Arabidopsis thaliana: one gene and its partner. The protein of the gene in region 1 interacts with the protein of each later gene in a pairwise test. Each region holds a gene or a part of one and is shown on either strand. Other genes may lie near its edges.

What was found.
Region 2: the proteins of CHX9 (region 1) and PIP2;5 interact in a protein complementation assay, tested with the Arabidopsis thaliana proteins (one large-scale study listed by BioGRID).

Annotation. Positions count from the first base shown.
Region 1 is NC_003076.8:7,659,453-7,667,596, reverse strand, and holds CHX9 (cation/H+ exchanger 9), read left to right. Parts: upstream 1-3,767; coding exon 3,768-4,016; intron 4,017-4,121; coding exon 4,122-4,597; intron 4,598-4,895; coding exon 4,896-5,445; intron 5,446-5,542; coding exon 5,543-6,670; downstream 6,671-8,144. Other genes in the region: AT5G22920 (CHY-type/CTCHY-type/RING-type Zinc finger protein), read right to left, coding at 566-733, 835-876, 957-1,026, 1,114-1,205, 1,290-1,372, 1,459-1,499, 1,605-1,648, 1,726-1,803 and 4 more; CHX3 (cation/H+ exchanger 3), read right to left, coding at 7,729-8,144. UniProt on the Arabidopsis thaliana protein: May operate as a cation/H(+) antiporter.
Region 2 is NC_003074.8:20,298,896-20,306,813, reverse strand, and holds PIP2;5 (plasma membrane intrinsic protein 2;5), read right to left. Parts: upstream 5,056-7,918; 5' UTR 4,698-5,055; coding exon 4,394-4,697; intron 4,277-4,393; coding exon 3,981-4,276; intron 3,426-3,980; coding exon 3,285-3,425; intron 3,196-3,284; coding exon 3,076-3,195; 3' UTR 2,505-3,075; downstream 1-2,504. UniProt on the Arabidopsis thaliana protein: Aquaporins facilitate the transport of water and small neutral solutes across cell membranes.

The DNA of each region.
Region 1 (8,144 bases):
CCAAATGGTCCAAAAGCCATTTCATTGTCGGTTCGGGTAGGTCCTCAAGATCTAGAACCGGATCTTCTTGTCCATGTCACTAACATAAGTTGTTAAGCTGTGTCAAAAAATAGACAGTCCACTCATGGCTTATTGGATTGATTTACCTTTCAGTATATTATTTGGGCAATAGCTTCAAGTTATTATGTCCACAACAAGAAAGGATTTTAACTTCACTTGATCAAGAAACGAAATAGAGTTATAGAGATTTCATGAAAATGTGCAAATTCGACAAAAATTTCTATCTCAATTTGTGTTAAAAAGATAAGGCATATTTGTACATTCTTATACTGATTTTACCAAAATTTTACTTATTTAAACATTAATATATATAATTTATTTCAAGATATGGTTGTTTTGGGCTATAATGGTCTAGACTTGCAAGTTGGATTGGCTCAAAGCAGCTTTTGAATCTGTGATGATATAATTGTTAACAACCAAAGGCATTGACTGATACCAAACTATAGAAAGTACAAATAATCTCCTCATGGGAAATTCAGACACCAAAACCAGCTCTGGTTAAAAATTAACCGGTTGAACCAACAACCTGAGGCATTCCAGAGGAGCAAGAGTGACTATCAGAGCCTCTCTGTGTCTGTCTTGTATTGTAGGAACCACAGCTACTGCATTTATGCGCGATCAAATGAAACCGAACGTTCGTGTTTGAGCCGCAGTCATTGCAGAGAATCCATACCTGACTCAACACATCACATTTAAATCCAAATCAGAAAGTGTACATAACACAAACACACACACACACACGAGAATCAAATATCGAATTTAATTTTGGTTTACCATCTTGTTTTCATACATCTTTGGCATTGGGTATGCAGCAACCTGCAAAATTTTGAATGTAAGACTTAGTGAAACATAAGAGACTATACAAGGAGACCGAACATCAGATCAAGAAACCTCACCTCTTCATCAAGTTTCTTCCACAGATTAGACATGTCACATATGGATTTGGAGCATACAGGGCATGTGTATCTACACAAAGCATCAAGAATTTTTTTAATCTTTGTTTATCAATGACTTCATTCATGGGTTGCATAAAAGATTTGAGAGTTCTTTTACCGGTTATGTAGCCCCATATCTTTCGTGCATTCTAGATGCATAGTGTGACCACATCGTAGGACAGTGATATCTCTTGTTGAATCAAACAGATACTGAGAACAAATACATCCACATCAAGTTCAATTGTAAGAAACCATTATGTTGCATTAAGAAATGGGTGAATCTGATTCTTATACCTCAAAACAAACCGGGCAATTGTGATGCATAGCGCCTTCAACACATTGGTGTTTGTCCTCCATAATTTTGGAGTAGCAACATCCTGTTTTAAGAAAACAAAATAAGATCTCCAAACAAAGAAAGGCACGAGAATTTGTAGAAACAAGAACATGAGGTTTTGTCTCTTACGGCATCTTTTGCAATGGAAAAAGTTTTCTTCTCCTCCGGTCCTATTAAACCAACATCATGAGATAACATATCAATAATTAGTTACCAAAAATCAACAGATTCTTTTTTGAATAGGTAAGCAAAAATCACAATGCCAGTTTCTATACCTGCAAATCCCACACTCATCACAGTGATATTGCTTCTTGGAAAGCTGAAACAACCAATATTAAGTCTCATTACTACTAATTCCAGCTATAGAAAGAGCAATAACTCAATTACAAAACTTACATCATCGTCGAAGAACTTGCATTTTGAACAGAAGTACTTCCCCATACATACACCACAATTGGAGCAGTTTTGCTGAACCTGAAGAAAACAAATTACAGGTCTCTTCTACATCAATAAACATATTTACCAATAGAATTTGTATATCTAAAATGTAGATACTCACGTCTTGTTCTGTCTCACAAAGCGAGCATATGACCTGAAAAAAAGTAGACCAAAATTGTTATCACAATGAATAAACAGAATCAAAATGTTCATAAACCAGAATGTTCAAAGTTAAAAACCTTTGAAACTTCATGTCGAGGAAGCTCATGTCTATGATGCTGTTCAATATGAAGAGAATCCTGTTGAAACAAACAAAACACATTAACATCTATAACCAAAACTTGTTCTTCACAAAAACACACACACACACACAAGTTACAAAGACAGAGAAGTAAAAAGACTATTCCTTTAATATTAGTTTTCTACCTTAGCTTCGTTGTGGCAATGTCTGCAATCAAAAATCTCATCACAACATGGTGCTCTAATCTTGCATCGTCTTCTATAATGTGAACACCTAAACACACACACACAAGGATAATCAAATTCAAAAAAAAAAAAAAATGAAACTTTAGCTTCAAAACTCAAAAGAAACTCAAAAGATGTTATTTACCCGTAATGCCCAGATCCAATCTCCATTAGATTCGCAAATTCTTGATTTTGCTCATTTTCATGGAAACCCATATCCATACTTTACCTAAAGTTTTGATCTTTCTTACTTGGAATCAACACCAATCAGATATCAAAATTTGTTGAGAGTAACGAAAGAATAAAAGAAACGTAATTTGAAGAAATGTATTGACGACGTTTGGTAATCAGAAACAGAGGAAGTTGCAGAGATGAAAAAGCAATCATGTTGATGATATTTATTTATATGAAGATGAGTGATGACTCAGCAACACGCCAGATTTTTTATTTTGCCTAATCAACAAATCCCATACTCATTATTAAAAAGGTTTTAACGTTTTTGTTTTTTTTGCTAAATATAAATTTTCTTCTTAATAAACAGAAATATTTTTCCACTTGTTTATGGTTTACTCCTAATTGGAATTCATTAGCAGAATACATAATTTTAAATAATAAAAAATTACATAATAGTTAATTTTAAATAAAATACATAATAGTTAATTAGTCAGAGCCAAATTTCATCAACATTAATGAGAAAACTAGAGGTAAAAAAAATTGAAAATGAAAAGTGAAAAGAGATTCGTTGTCGGACTTTTGTTAAAAAAAATATCTTACTTGTAATTATGCATTAAAAAGAAAGTTATTTTTTTATATTCTATTAGAAAAAGTTTAATGTACTAAGTGAAAGTTAATAACATATGAAACACTCGGTTTAAGATTCAATTCAGTTGGCGACTTGGCGGGTCATTAAGAACAAATTTTTGTGGTGTGTGGGTCAATGTCAATATGTCATGTCTTGTTTTTAAAAAGCAGAAAACAGGATAGGATTGGATAATGGATATGTCCTCCAACTTGATGACTCAATTTTTTGGGTCCACTCTTTTATAAATTCTACTAAAACACACTATGGAATACTTTTTTTTTTTTTTGAAGTTTGATATTAGTAGTGTTAAAGTTGTGGGCTAAGTTCTTGAGTTAGATTAGTAGGTAGTGTCAACTCAATATTTGATCTTCAATGGGCTTAGATTGGGCTTATCTTTTGGGTTTGTTATAAAATAAGTATTTGGTAAAATGGGTTAGTTTCTTTTTCTTTTTTTGGTCAACCAAAATGGTCAAGTTTTAGGAAAGGATTAGAGTGCCTAAGTATCATCATTTATTTGTTGATAAGTTTGACCAAAACGTAACAAAATTATTTCGCAACCAAAAAGTACTAGTCAAAGGGGGGCGCCAACTATTTGATAAACAACAGCAACTGTTTTTTTTTTAAAACAAACCGTTACGTTGTTGAATATTTTGACGTTAAGAATAAATTATCAGCGAAAAAAAACGAAATCGATCTTTTACAAGTTTGACAAAAGCATATCTTCGTCATCATCATGACCGATTCTCAAGCACTAGTTCCTGGGCCTTCACCGCCTCATAGCAAAGCTGAAATTTGTTACGGAGCTACTTTTTTCAACATCTCTTCTTATGGAATCATGGAAAAATATGAAACTCCTACTGTTATCTTCGGATATGCATTGCCTCTCCTTGAGCTGCAGATCATTCTCATCTTCGTTTGCATCGTCTTATCTCATATGTTCCTCAGACGTATTGGCATACCACGGTTCGTCTCCAACATACTTGTAAGTTAAGAAAAACGTCCACAACTGTCAATTTCTTGTATCGCAAGTACCAAACGCTTGGTTTCTTGTACTGCAAGTAACAATTTTTTTTTTTTTTTGAACTAGGCTGGTTTGATTCTTGGACCTCAGCTGCTTGATCTTCTGGAGTATTCATCGGACCGATTATCGTTAGACATCCCCGGAAACGTAGCGTTGGAAGGTGTGGCCAGGCTTGGGTTGGTAATGTTCACGTTCTTAATGGGCGTGAAGACCAACAAGAGAGCGGTGTATCAAATCGGTAAACGTCCGATAGTAATCGCGGTTTCGTCCTTTTTCGTGACTATGATCAGCGGGTTAGCCTTCAGAAACTTCCGTCTCGACAAGGTCGACCCTCTTTATATGCCTCTGAGGCTAGCCCCAACAGAACGCTCCGTGATTGTATCGATTCAAGCAGTAACGCTGTTACCGGTCATAACCCACCTCGTATATGAGCTGAAGATGTCAAACTCCGAGCTCGGCCGCATCGCCATATCTACAGCCGCCGTCAGCGATTTCCTTGGATTTCTCACTCTAGTATGCATCTCCTACGTTGGAACATACAGGTATGTAAGACGTCGATTAATTTAGGAATCTAATTGGTGCATTTGCATACAAAACTACTTACCTCATTAAATATACTTTTGTAGTAATCAAAGTCTACAAATCCGGAGACCTAAAGCAATATATATAATGCTCTAAAACTGGTTAAAAGTTTGATCAACGAAAAGTTACCGTTTTATTGTCTATAAAGCAATACTAATTGTTATCTACACAATAGACGGCACCGGAGTGTTTGATTAGTAATGTATATCTACTATCTAACGAACATTATTTGCTATAATAGTTTGAAACGGTCTGCAGGTATGTATCGCCCGGAATAGCCAACCGCGACATAGTGGCATTGATCATCTTAGTCCTTGTGATCCTATTCATCTTCAAGCCAATGGCACAACGAATAGTGGACATGACCCCAGAAGGCAAGCCCGTACCGAAAGTCTACTTATACGTAACAATCCTGACCGCAATCGCCGCGAGTATATACTTAAGTGTTTTCAACCAAATGTACATTCTAGGAGCTTTATTGGTGGGGTTGGCAATCCCAGACGGTCCGCCTCTGGGATCTGCGTTAGAGGCAAGGTTCGAGAGCTTGGTTACAAACATATTTTTCCCTATTTCAATCGCGGTCATGGCGATGAAAGCTGACGTTGTAAGAGCATTGTATTCGTTCGATGACATTTCCTTTAACATACTTCTACTGGGTCTTACAGTGGTAGTGAAATGGACTGCCTCTTTTGTACCTTGCTTGATCTTCTGCGAGTTACCTACTAGAGAATCCGTTATCATCGCCACTATCATGAACTATAAGGGTTTTGTTGACTTATGCTTCTTCGATGTCGCCTTAAGAAGAAGGGTAAAATAATCTTCATCTAACCTACACTCTACATGTATATATATTGCATCATATGGTTTTGAATTAATGGTTGAATGTTTTTTGTTTTCTTTAACAGAATTTGTCGCGAGCAACGTACACGGTCATGATTATTTACGTGCTATTGAACGCGGGGATTTTGCCTACGATTATAAAAGCACTATATGATCCAAAGAGGAAGTATATTGGATATGTCAAGAGAGACATTATGCATCTTAAAACAAACTCAGATCTCAAGATTCTAACTTGTTTGCACAAGCCTGACAACATCTCAGGTGCGATCTCGCTACTTGAATTGCTTTCCTCGCCGCTAAACAACGATAACAAAGACAGAGGAGTCATTGCTGTCACGGCGTTACACCTAGTGAAACTCGCAGGACGTACGTTTCCCATCTTGATACCTCATGACAAGCGGTCTAAAGCGCGGTTGCTTCAAAACTCTTACATACAAACAATGATGCTCGCGTTCACCGAGTTTCAACAAGAGAATTGGGAATCTACCACTGTTAGTTCCTTCACAGCTTATTCTCATGAGAACCTAATGGATCAAGACATTTGCAATCTTGCTTTAGACCACCTCACATCGATGATCATTGTCCCTTCGGGACGAAAATGGTCACCCGATGGAGAATATGAATCAGACGATATTATGATCAGACGTGTTAATGAATCTCTCCTTGACCTCGCTCCATGTTCTGTCGGCATACTTAACTACCGAGGATATAATAAAGGTAAGAAAAAGACCAACAGTATCATTAACGTTGGTGTGATCTTCATTGGTGGTAAAGATGATCGTGAGGCGCTTTCCCTTGCGAAATGGATGGGACAGAACTCGAGAGTGTGTCTTACTGTTATCAGATTTTTGTCTGGTCAAGAACTAGATAAGTCCAAGAATTGGGATTACCTTGTTGACGACGAGGTCTTGAATGATTTGAAAGCGACATATTCATTGGCCAACAATTTTAACTATATGGAGAAGGTAGTCAACGGTGGACCTGCGGTGGCCACCACCGTTAGATTGGTGGCGGAAGACCATGATTTGATGATTGTAGGAAGAGATCACGAAGATTATTCGCTGGACTTAACAGGGTTGGCACAGTGGATGGAGCTTCCGGAGTTAGGAGTCATCGGAGATTTGCTTGCATCCAAAGATTTAAGAGCTAGGGTTTCTGTTTTAGTAGTTCAACAACAACAACAACATGGATGAGTGTAACATATGTCAGTGAATGATCTCAAAAAAAAAAATTGAATTATACTCGCATCATGGGTAAATGTTAGAATTTACATTTGACGTGGAAATAGATTTAATATAATTGATCTAAACAACATTGGTTAATCCATTCATTACCAAATTGTTTTTGAGTAAGAAACTCATGCATATATTGTTCCTAAAATAGTATATATCAAATCAATAATCCGGTATTTTTGAGAGATGAGTTGTTCTGCTCTAACATAGTATACAAAGATGAGTTTGACGCAGTTGGAATACATTGATAAGCCAGTTAATTATTGATTTATCTAAATTTAGTGTTCATTAAAATTGTATTTTAAATGTATGCAAATAATCCATTTCGTACTACTTAGCACAGTTAATTTGCACAGAATTATTCCAAATATCTAAATCTTGGCGCTTTGTTGAAGCAAACACTACTGCTAAAAAATTAAAAAATTAAAAAAATAATAATAATAATAATAAATAAATAACAAAATTGAAAATTTCACCTGAGCTTTAATGAAAAAAAATACGAGTAATGTGCACAATGTAGTTCTATAACCACTCCTATGAATATCCAATGATTTCTAAAACACAGATTATGTAAGAGAAAAATTCAAACGTGAGATATCTCCATTGTTCATCCGAGCTCAAGCACAACAAAGGTTTCAGTGAAACTGATCGAAAAATAAGTGAAAATGTCTTGTATTTTACTTCGATTTCTTACATTGTTCAACATGAAATTTCAAACTATTTTAACCTAAATAAATATGTTCGATCTTGACCAGTTTCTCTATTTCCCTCTATGTTGTTTTAGTGTTAATATAAACATGATTTTCTATAAATATAAAGATTAATATAGTTGTTGATCGCAAAACCTTATGCGATTATATTTGTGATGAACTGATCGGCTAAGTGGATTTTCCAAAAAGTTACATTTGAATGGTCTAAATAAAATTTACAAAAAAAATATTCTTCTTACAATTAAATTTCTAAGTCTATAATGAAAAGAATGGTAAAATTGCAAAATGATTATGTACGTATATAAGAACCTAAATCATTAGCTGTTGTTGTTGTATAACCAAAACAGAAGCTTGGCAATTAAAATCCTGTGAAGTCAATAAATCTCCAATAATACCAAGCTCCTTAAACTCACTCCATTCCTCAAGCCCTTCTGTGAACACACTCGTCCTTCCGTTCCCTCTTCCCACTATGAACATATCGAAATCGCTTACCATCGATCTTAGCAAACTCGATGTTTCAGCCGCGTCTTCAATCGCTTTCTCCGAGTAGAAAATGTCTACTAATGTATTGCTTTTCACGTCTCTAAGAAGTTCATCGTCAAGCATTTTATCCCACACCGTGTTCTCTCGTGCTTTCTCATCGGTAGTGATCAGTCGAACAATGGTTATATTGATCCTTGGGTCACGGGCCATTCGTGTAGCAAGTGTCACTGCTTCTCTATCGT
Region 2 (7,918 bases), on another chromosome or scaffold:
AGAATTTGGTGGCCGACGCGTTGTCACGGGTTGAAGGTTCTGAGATTTTGCATATGGCATTGTCAGTATTGGAGTGTGATCTGCTTCAGAGGCTCAAAGATGGGTATGCTTCTGATGCTGTGGTTCAGAAACAGATTGAAGCTCTTCAGAGAAGTGCAGATTCGATAAAGAAGATGAGTTGGTCACAAGGGTTGTTGCACCGTAAGAACAAGCTGGTTGTACCAAATGTTGTAGCTTTGAAAGATTCTATTTTGGGATGGTTACATTGTTCAGGTGTGGGGGGCCACTCAGGTCGTGATGCTACCCATCAGCGTGTGAAGAGTCTGTTTTATTGGAAGGGGATGTCTAAAGATATTCAAGCTTACATCCGGAGCTGTTCTGTGTGCCAGCAGTGTAAGTATGATACTACAGCATCTCCGGGTTTGCTTCAGCCATTACCTATTCCTAATGCGATTTGGTCTGACATATCTATGGATTTTATTGATGGTCTGCCTATTTCTTTTGGGAAATCTGTGATCTTGGTGGTGGTTGATCGTTTAACTAAAGCTGCTCATTTCATTGCATTGAGTCATCCTTATTCTGCCTTGACAGTAGCACAAGCATTCATGGATAATATATTCAAGCTTCATGGGTTGCCTAATTCTATTGTCAGTGACAGGGATTCAGTGTTTTTAAGTGAGTTTTGGAGAGAATTGTTCACATTACAGGGTGTGGCTCTCAATTACTCAAGCGCATATCACCCTCAAAGTGATGGACAGACAGAGGTGGTGAATAGGTGTTTGGAGACATATTTACGATGTATGACTAGTGACAGACCGGGTTTGTGGAGCAGATGGTTGCCTCTCGCTGAGTTTTGGTACAATACAAGCTTTCATTCTTCAGCTAACATGTCACCTTATGAAGCTGTTTATGGTCAACCCCCTCCGCAGCATTTGCCTTATGTTCCGGGCGAGTCCAAAGTGGCTGTGGTGGCTCAGAACTTACAAGAGCGGGAGAAGATGTTATTGATTTTGAAGTTTCATCTCTTACGAGCTCAGCACAGGATGTTGCAGTCTGCTAACAAGAAGAGATCTGATAGAAGCTTTCAGATTGGTGACTTTGTCTTTGTGAAACTTCAGCCCCATCGTCAAGGTTCTGTGGTGATGAGATCGAATCAGAAACTGGCGCCTAAGTATTATGGACCTTATAAGATTCTGGATACATGTGGAAAGGTGGCTTACAAACTAGCTCTGCCTGACATTTCTCGCATTCATCCAGTTTTCCATGTTTCTCAACTGAAGTTGTGGGTGGGAGAGTCTTCAGTTGGTAAGCAATTGCCTTCGGTGTTGTTGGATGTGTTGCTTAAGGAACCTGCGCGTATTCTGAAGAGGAAGCTAGTGAATCGCCACGGTCGTGCAGCTACAAAGGTTCTGGTTCAATGGACGAATGAGGATGAGGCGGAGGCAACTTGGGAGTTCTTGTTTGACCTGTTGCAGAAGTATCCTACATTCAACCATGAGGTCATGGTTGCTTAAGGAGGGAGGATTTGATACAGGATATTGAGTAAGGCCACGTGGACGGCTGTGATTAGAAGATCAATGGACGGTTGTGATTCAAATCAAGTGTGCGTAGAGCTGAAGCTAATAAATATCAAGTGTCATCGTCATTTTCATGTTATCGTTGAAGTTGTTGTTATTCCTTTCTCTCTGAAAACATTCCGAGATTCATCCTCTGCATAGAACGTCGATTCTTGCGAGGTGAATCCAGAAATCCCTTGTTTTATGAACATTGGGTTTCATTTGTTATTTACATCGTAATAATAAGTAATCGGAGTTGTAGATGATTGCTTTGGTTGATTGATTGTGTTGTGGTGTGGTTTTACTGTATTAGTGTGACTACAAATTAAATTTATTAAAGCATATAGACACATTCAATATCTTCTTTGCGTAGAAATTTTGGCAAACGGATATAATTGTATATCGTTGTAGATGTCCTGCACACTTGCCTCCATCAATCTGCAAATTTCCTAATAAATTCCAGTAGTTGGGACTCGAACCTCATACATCTTCATGTAGAAGCATTAATGAACTACTGATCAATTATTGGGCCAAAAGAGCTTCCACACAGTACTTTATAGTTTATACATATATTCTGCATAATAACAATTTGGTTAAAAAAGAAAAGAAAAGAAAAAAGAAAAAAAAAAAAAGAAATTGGTTACAAAAATTATCTTTCGTAATACTGGAAACGAAAAGTAAAATGTGTATGATGATGATTTCTTGTATTTCATATGAAAGATGATTAAAAATATTATTATTAATGATTTTTTAAAATAATTTTTTTATGTTAAGAGACATGTCTTATAACTAACAAAAATCTCTTATATAAAAGATTTTAAATCATTTTGTTAGTTATAAAATTTTTATAAAGATGGTCTAAAACCTTACTTTTGAACATGATGCTAGTTTGAAATCTAGAGATTAGATTTCTCCATAGATTTCTGCGAAACTAAACTTATTTTCGTCATGATGTGTTTCAAAAATGCGCATGAAACACAAAAGTTGTAAAAGCTTTCTTTATGAAGAGGTTGATGGCCACTTTATTTGACCTCTCGATGAGTCTTTTCCATCACCGTCCAATCCACTCACTACACTATGCCAATAACATCAAATGAGATTACTTTCCAAACTACAAGGAACCACAACATAGTTCGATTGAAACTTGGAAGGTAATCTGATAATCTCATTGATGTGGAACCACACTATTCCACTTTCACATGTAAATTTATACTTTCATGTGTAATTTAAAGAAATACTCGGGACTTACGTTGATCATATATAAGGAATATTTAGTACTAATAAATAGAGCAATCTTAATAGTCAAGGAGTAGAGACATAGATTTAATCATAGAAGTAGCAATTCAAAGTTGGCCCGCAAGCGACACTTCAAAATATCTCTCCTCACCAAAGCTAGAAATTAGATACTAGTACTACACGTCACTTGGCTCCAACCGTCTACACAAGATAAAATTACAAGCCTCTCTTATTATCTTCTCTTTTTCTCTCTTTGATGTACTCAGGGAAGAGCATATCAAAGTTAAACGTGAGGCTGGCTCCTGAAAGACCCGAGCGCCTTAATCGCACCAGCCCTCAACACAAACTGATGGTAGAAAGCTGCGATGGCTGCACCAGCAAACGGACCCACCCAGAATATCCACTGTAGTAATTATAGAAAACACTAATAAATTGAAAACCTTGGTAATATCAAAAACGAAGAAGTAAAATATATGATATAGTATAACGTACATGATGGTCCCAAGCTTTGTCCTTGTTGTAGATGATTGCAGCTCCGAGACTTCTTGCAGGGTTGATACCAGTGCCCGTGATTGGGATTGTAGCTAAGTGAACGATGAACACTGCAAATCCAATTGGCAATGGAGCCAATACCTTCAATCACCACACCATCACCACCAACAACAAAAAATAATGAAATGTTACTAATCACGAGACAAATAGTACAGTCCAGAATAATATTCATATAGTTATGTTTGGGAGTAGTATACGTGGTTACAAATGGAGTTGGGACCATGTCCAAATAAAGGACATATGTTATGGAGAGAGACATGAAAGACAAAAAAAAGTTTAAGATCATCGATGTCCTTTATGCATTTTATTATAATGACGAATCTAGAAGCTACAGTCGCAATATATCCGTGATATATTGTACGGTCTATTTTATTTTTTCTTAATTCGATTCTAAATATGAATTTCGAATTTAAATTTTGATTTTAGTAAAAACAAAATTGTCAACAAGCATACAATTTCTACGGCTAAATCTTTATGATAAGTAGAGCGCCGTATAGGACACGGGTATGCTACTGTTTCCATTAATGCGATGAATTTCTAAATTATCTAACCATGACTAAACCTCTCTCTGTTGTAACATAATCATGTCACATTCTTTTAAAATAAATAATCTTAAGGGGAAAATAATAGGCTTACAGGAACGTGAGAGTCACGCGCACTCCTCTTGGGATCAGTGGCAGAGAAGACGGTGTAGACTAAGACGAATGTACCAATGATCTCGGCTGCAACACCGGTGCCGATGCTGTAACCGTCAGAGAGACCATTTGCGCCACCACCGTAGCGGGTGAAGTAAGCAGACTGGAAGGCCTTGACCAAAGCCACACCACAAATGGCACCGAGGCACTGAGCCACCATGTACATCACTGCTCTCACCAACGTCACTTTCCGAGCCAACAACAGCCCAAAAGTCACTGCCGGATTAATATGCCCACCTGTTTCATTAAAATACGTTGAACCAAAACATTTATGTGAGCTTTAACACCAAACCAAACTACGTTTGAATTTTATTACAAATGAGCGATGTAAAAAGAGAAAGAGAGAGATCAGACCAGAGATGCCGGCGGTGCAGTAGACGAGGATGAAGATCATGCCACCAAAGGCCCATGCGATACCAAGGACGCCAACGCCTGTACACTGGTCAGGATTCAGGGCTGGATCGGTCTGGCTCTTGTAACCGATGACAGTCATAATAGTGACATAGAGGAAAAGGAGAGTGGCTATGAACTCAGCGATGAGAGCTCTGTAGAAAGACCACTTCCCAAGCTCAGTAGCGTCGAATAGAGGTTCAGGTGGTGGGTCTTGATAGTCTTTCCCGGAGAAAGATCTCTTATCACCAACCACTTCCTTCGTCATTGTCTTCTTATTCTTCACCAAACTTAAGAGTATGTGTCTCTGTTATCTTAAGATATATTCGAAAGTGAGAGAGAGATATGAGAGAATTGATGTGGTAAGATGGTGAGTCGGTGAAGGGTATTTATGGGCAGATGTGACGAGGCTTTGGACTCTGTTTTTACTTTAATTTTTGTTGGTTTGGTTGTTGTTGTTGTTGTTGTTAATGATCATTTTACATGGGTTTTTTTTAAGGTTTTGGAATGATGGCAACCGACTACGGTGATTAATTTTCTGTAGAATGACTGATTTAATTCATTATTTATGTTTTAGTGTCTTGTGGAGCGGAGAAACAATGTTTTCGCTAATGCTTAAATTTTTTGAATTTATTTGCTCGTAAAATACATGTGTCATACATTAAGTTAAACAAATATTTGACGGGAATTATTAGTGTGGTCGCAATATTCAAGCTATCCATTCATTACAATCATGGGCTCAAAGCCGACTCTTTGACAATGGGGTTAAAAAATGTTGTAAAGGAGAAAATAAGATAGCAAAGGGCCGGCTTGAGAATCCAAAATAATAATTCGACGTATAACATGTATTCATCATTGCTCATTATGAAAACCGAATAAGGTTTTGAGTTCTTGAAAATTTAGCGATTCATAAGGAATTTTTTTCATTGATTTATAATTATTTTATAAAAGTAATATAACATTTGTTGGTTACATGTATTTAATCCATTATCTGTAGCTCTGTTGGTATTACTACTATAAGACCTTCCAAAAAAGCACGTAAACTAGTTGTTTTGTTCTGATCCCGAGACATGGAAGAGTATGGACAAAGACAAAATCTAGGTAAATATATTTTGTAAGTTTTAACATAAGAATCTCATAATAGGTGGATAGTAGAGTCGGCACTCAACAAACGAAATATGAATACAGTGAGATGAGAGGCCACAAAATTTTACTACTTTCATTTTCAGCGACTCACTTTAGAGTTTGGATTTGGATTTATCAATAGAAGGTATATGTTATTTATTGATAGTTGCACAACAAAAGGAACTAGTACCAAACCCTAAATAATACAGAGTTTTCCAATTAGCTGTTTCCAAAAAAGTTGTGTACTCTATAAATAGGTGGACCAAGTATTTGAGAGCTTCATGCCGACTATTTAGTTGATATATATAGATAAAAAGGAGCTTCTAGAATCTTAAATATTGGGTATTCATTCAAATTAGCATGCCCTCTTCCACTTTTCAACTTTTAGAATCTTGGTATAGACCACTGTAACATTTACTGTTTTCATTGTTGATCACTGGTTTGAAGTGACAAACAAAGGAAAACCAGTTCTTAATCTCGGAAATTACATAAATTTTGGCTAAATGTCTTCTCTGAATAGAAGAAGATGAATATGACAACACAAAAGTGATGGTAAATAACGAAGAAAGTGCACATGTTCAAAACTAGGGAGGATGGCAGTGGGGTAAAGGTTGGTTGTTGTTCTCTTTCACCGACTCAACTTGACTTTGCAGCTTTGCCTTGTTCTGTTTTTGTTTCTAATGTTTTTCTTCTTGCCAACAAAATGTCCTTTATTTTAACTTTGAACATTATTGTAGTCATTTTTTTCCCTACATTAATATTTTGCACTATTAACTTTAACTTTCTTAATAGTGATCTTCTGTTTTTTTTGCCGTCCACTCTCGTCAGCACCAAAACTAACTTAGTGCTTTGTTTATTTCTTTTGAATTGTTAAAACCAATTTGCTCCTAATTTATCAATCAGTGTGTGTGATAATCTGTTAATTTATTCCTCTTTTACTAAGTAGTTGATTTAAAAAAGGGTTTTTGATCTGTTGCCGTGAATGTCCAGTTGCCCACTTTATGTTTCACATTTTTCCTTTTTACGTTAAAATGTTAATCGGAAATGTAAATCCAACTTTCCCCTCTTTGATTTTGGATTATCCAAATAATTCTTTTTGTAAAGTAATTAAATAAACTTTGGTAGTTTGTCATTGTAGCAAATAAGTTGATTCCAAAGCATAAAAATTGTATACCACTGGATCTCTGTGGCGTGTCTTTCTTATACCTTTAGTATGCCAAACAGCAATGGTCTAAACATAAATTAGGAAAATTGTAATGATGTGACAAAAAAATAATATTTTTACTACTTTATCTTTTATTTTAATTATTACAAGATATTGTTTTGTAACAGTACTATGTAGTAATGTTTTACCTCCACCGCTCCACGACCACTTTAGTTACACAATTTTTTCCTCGCGATCAAGTTTAGGTTTTTTCTCGTGCAGTGGTGGTCTATTCTGATACCAATAGGCAGGCAATAGGGTTGTTAGGAGAATGAGGAATACAAAGAAAATGTATAAACAAAAACTAGAGCATAGACAAAACAGTAAAGAAGAACATTACGTGGGCTGATACTGGGCCTAGTAGTATTTAACCCAGCCCCTGACAACCAAGACAAAAGTGTTGGGTCTTGATTCCCGAGTGATGATTTGTGTCAATTGTATTGAGTGAAAGTGACAAGGAGAAGAGAAGGTATGATCAAGCAAACAACTCAAGGGTTTGATTGATTTTCTAAGACAGGTAAATTCGGCAAAGTAGTTGAATTCGTCTCACTTTTTTCATGAGTTAGGGGAGTCTCGGATTTTGACATATGTAAGTCTACTTTGAACTCAAAAAAAGATAAAAAAAAAAGATATGTCTATCATAAATATATCTTATGTGTTAGGCCAAGACCCAACTCGACCAGTGAACATATCCAGTAAGAAAATGACATAATTAAAAGACAAAAGAGAAAGAAAGAAAAAATTGTTCGGTGAAATCATCAAAATCGTGAATGAAGTAAGATATGTTGTCCAATCGAGTTGGTTATTAGTGCATCGACGAATACGAAAATATCATTGTTTTATCTGACGACTCTTAAGTCCTCTTTATGGTTTGAAAATAACAACATGGCTACATGAGGACGAAAGTTAAATACTAAAATCATTCGTTCATATTGTTTTATCATTGTTCAGCAAATTTAATATGCTGAAAAAATTAGTTTCAATAATTATGAAAGAAAAAGAAAATGAGTGAGTTTTGAAAGAAAGGTAGTTAAATTAAGAAACACTCTTACTTTAAATTGGCATCATAGATGGGTGGATTTACATAAAAGCTAGTTTGTGAAGTCCTTGTTAGAAAAAGATATAGTGGTTGTTACTCTATCTCTCATCTCCATTTAATT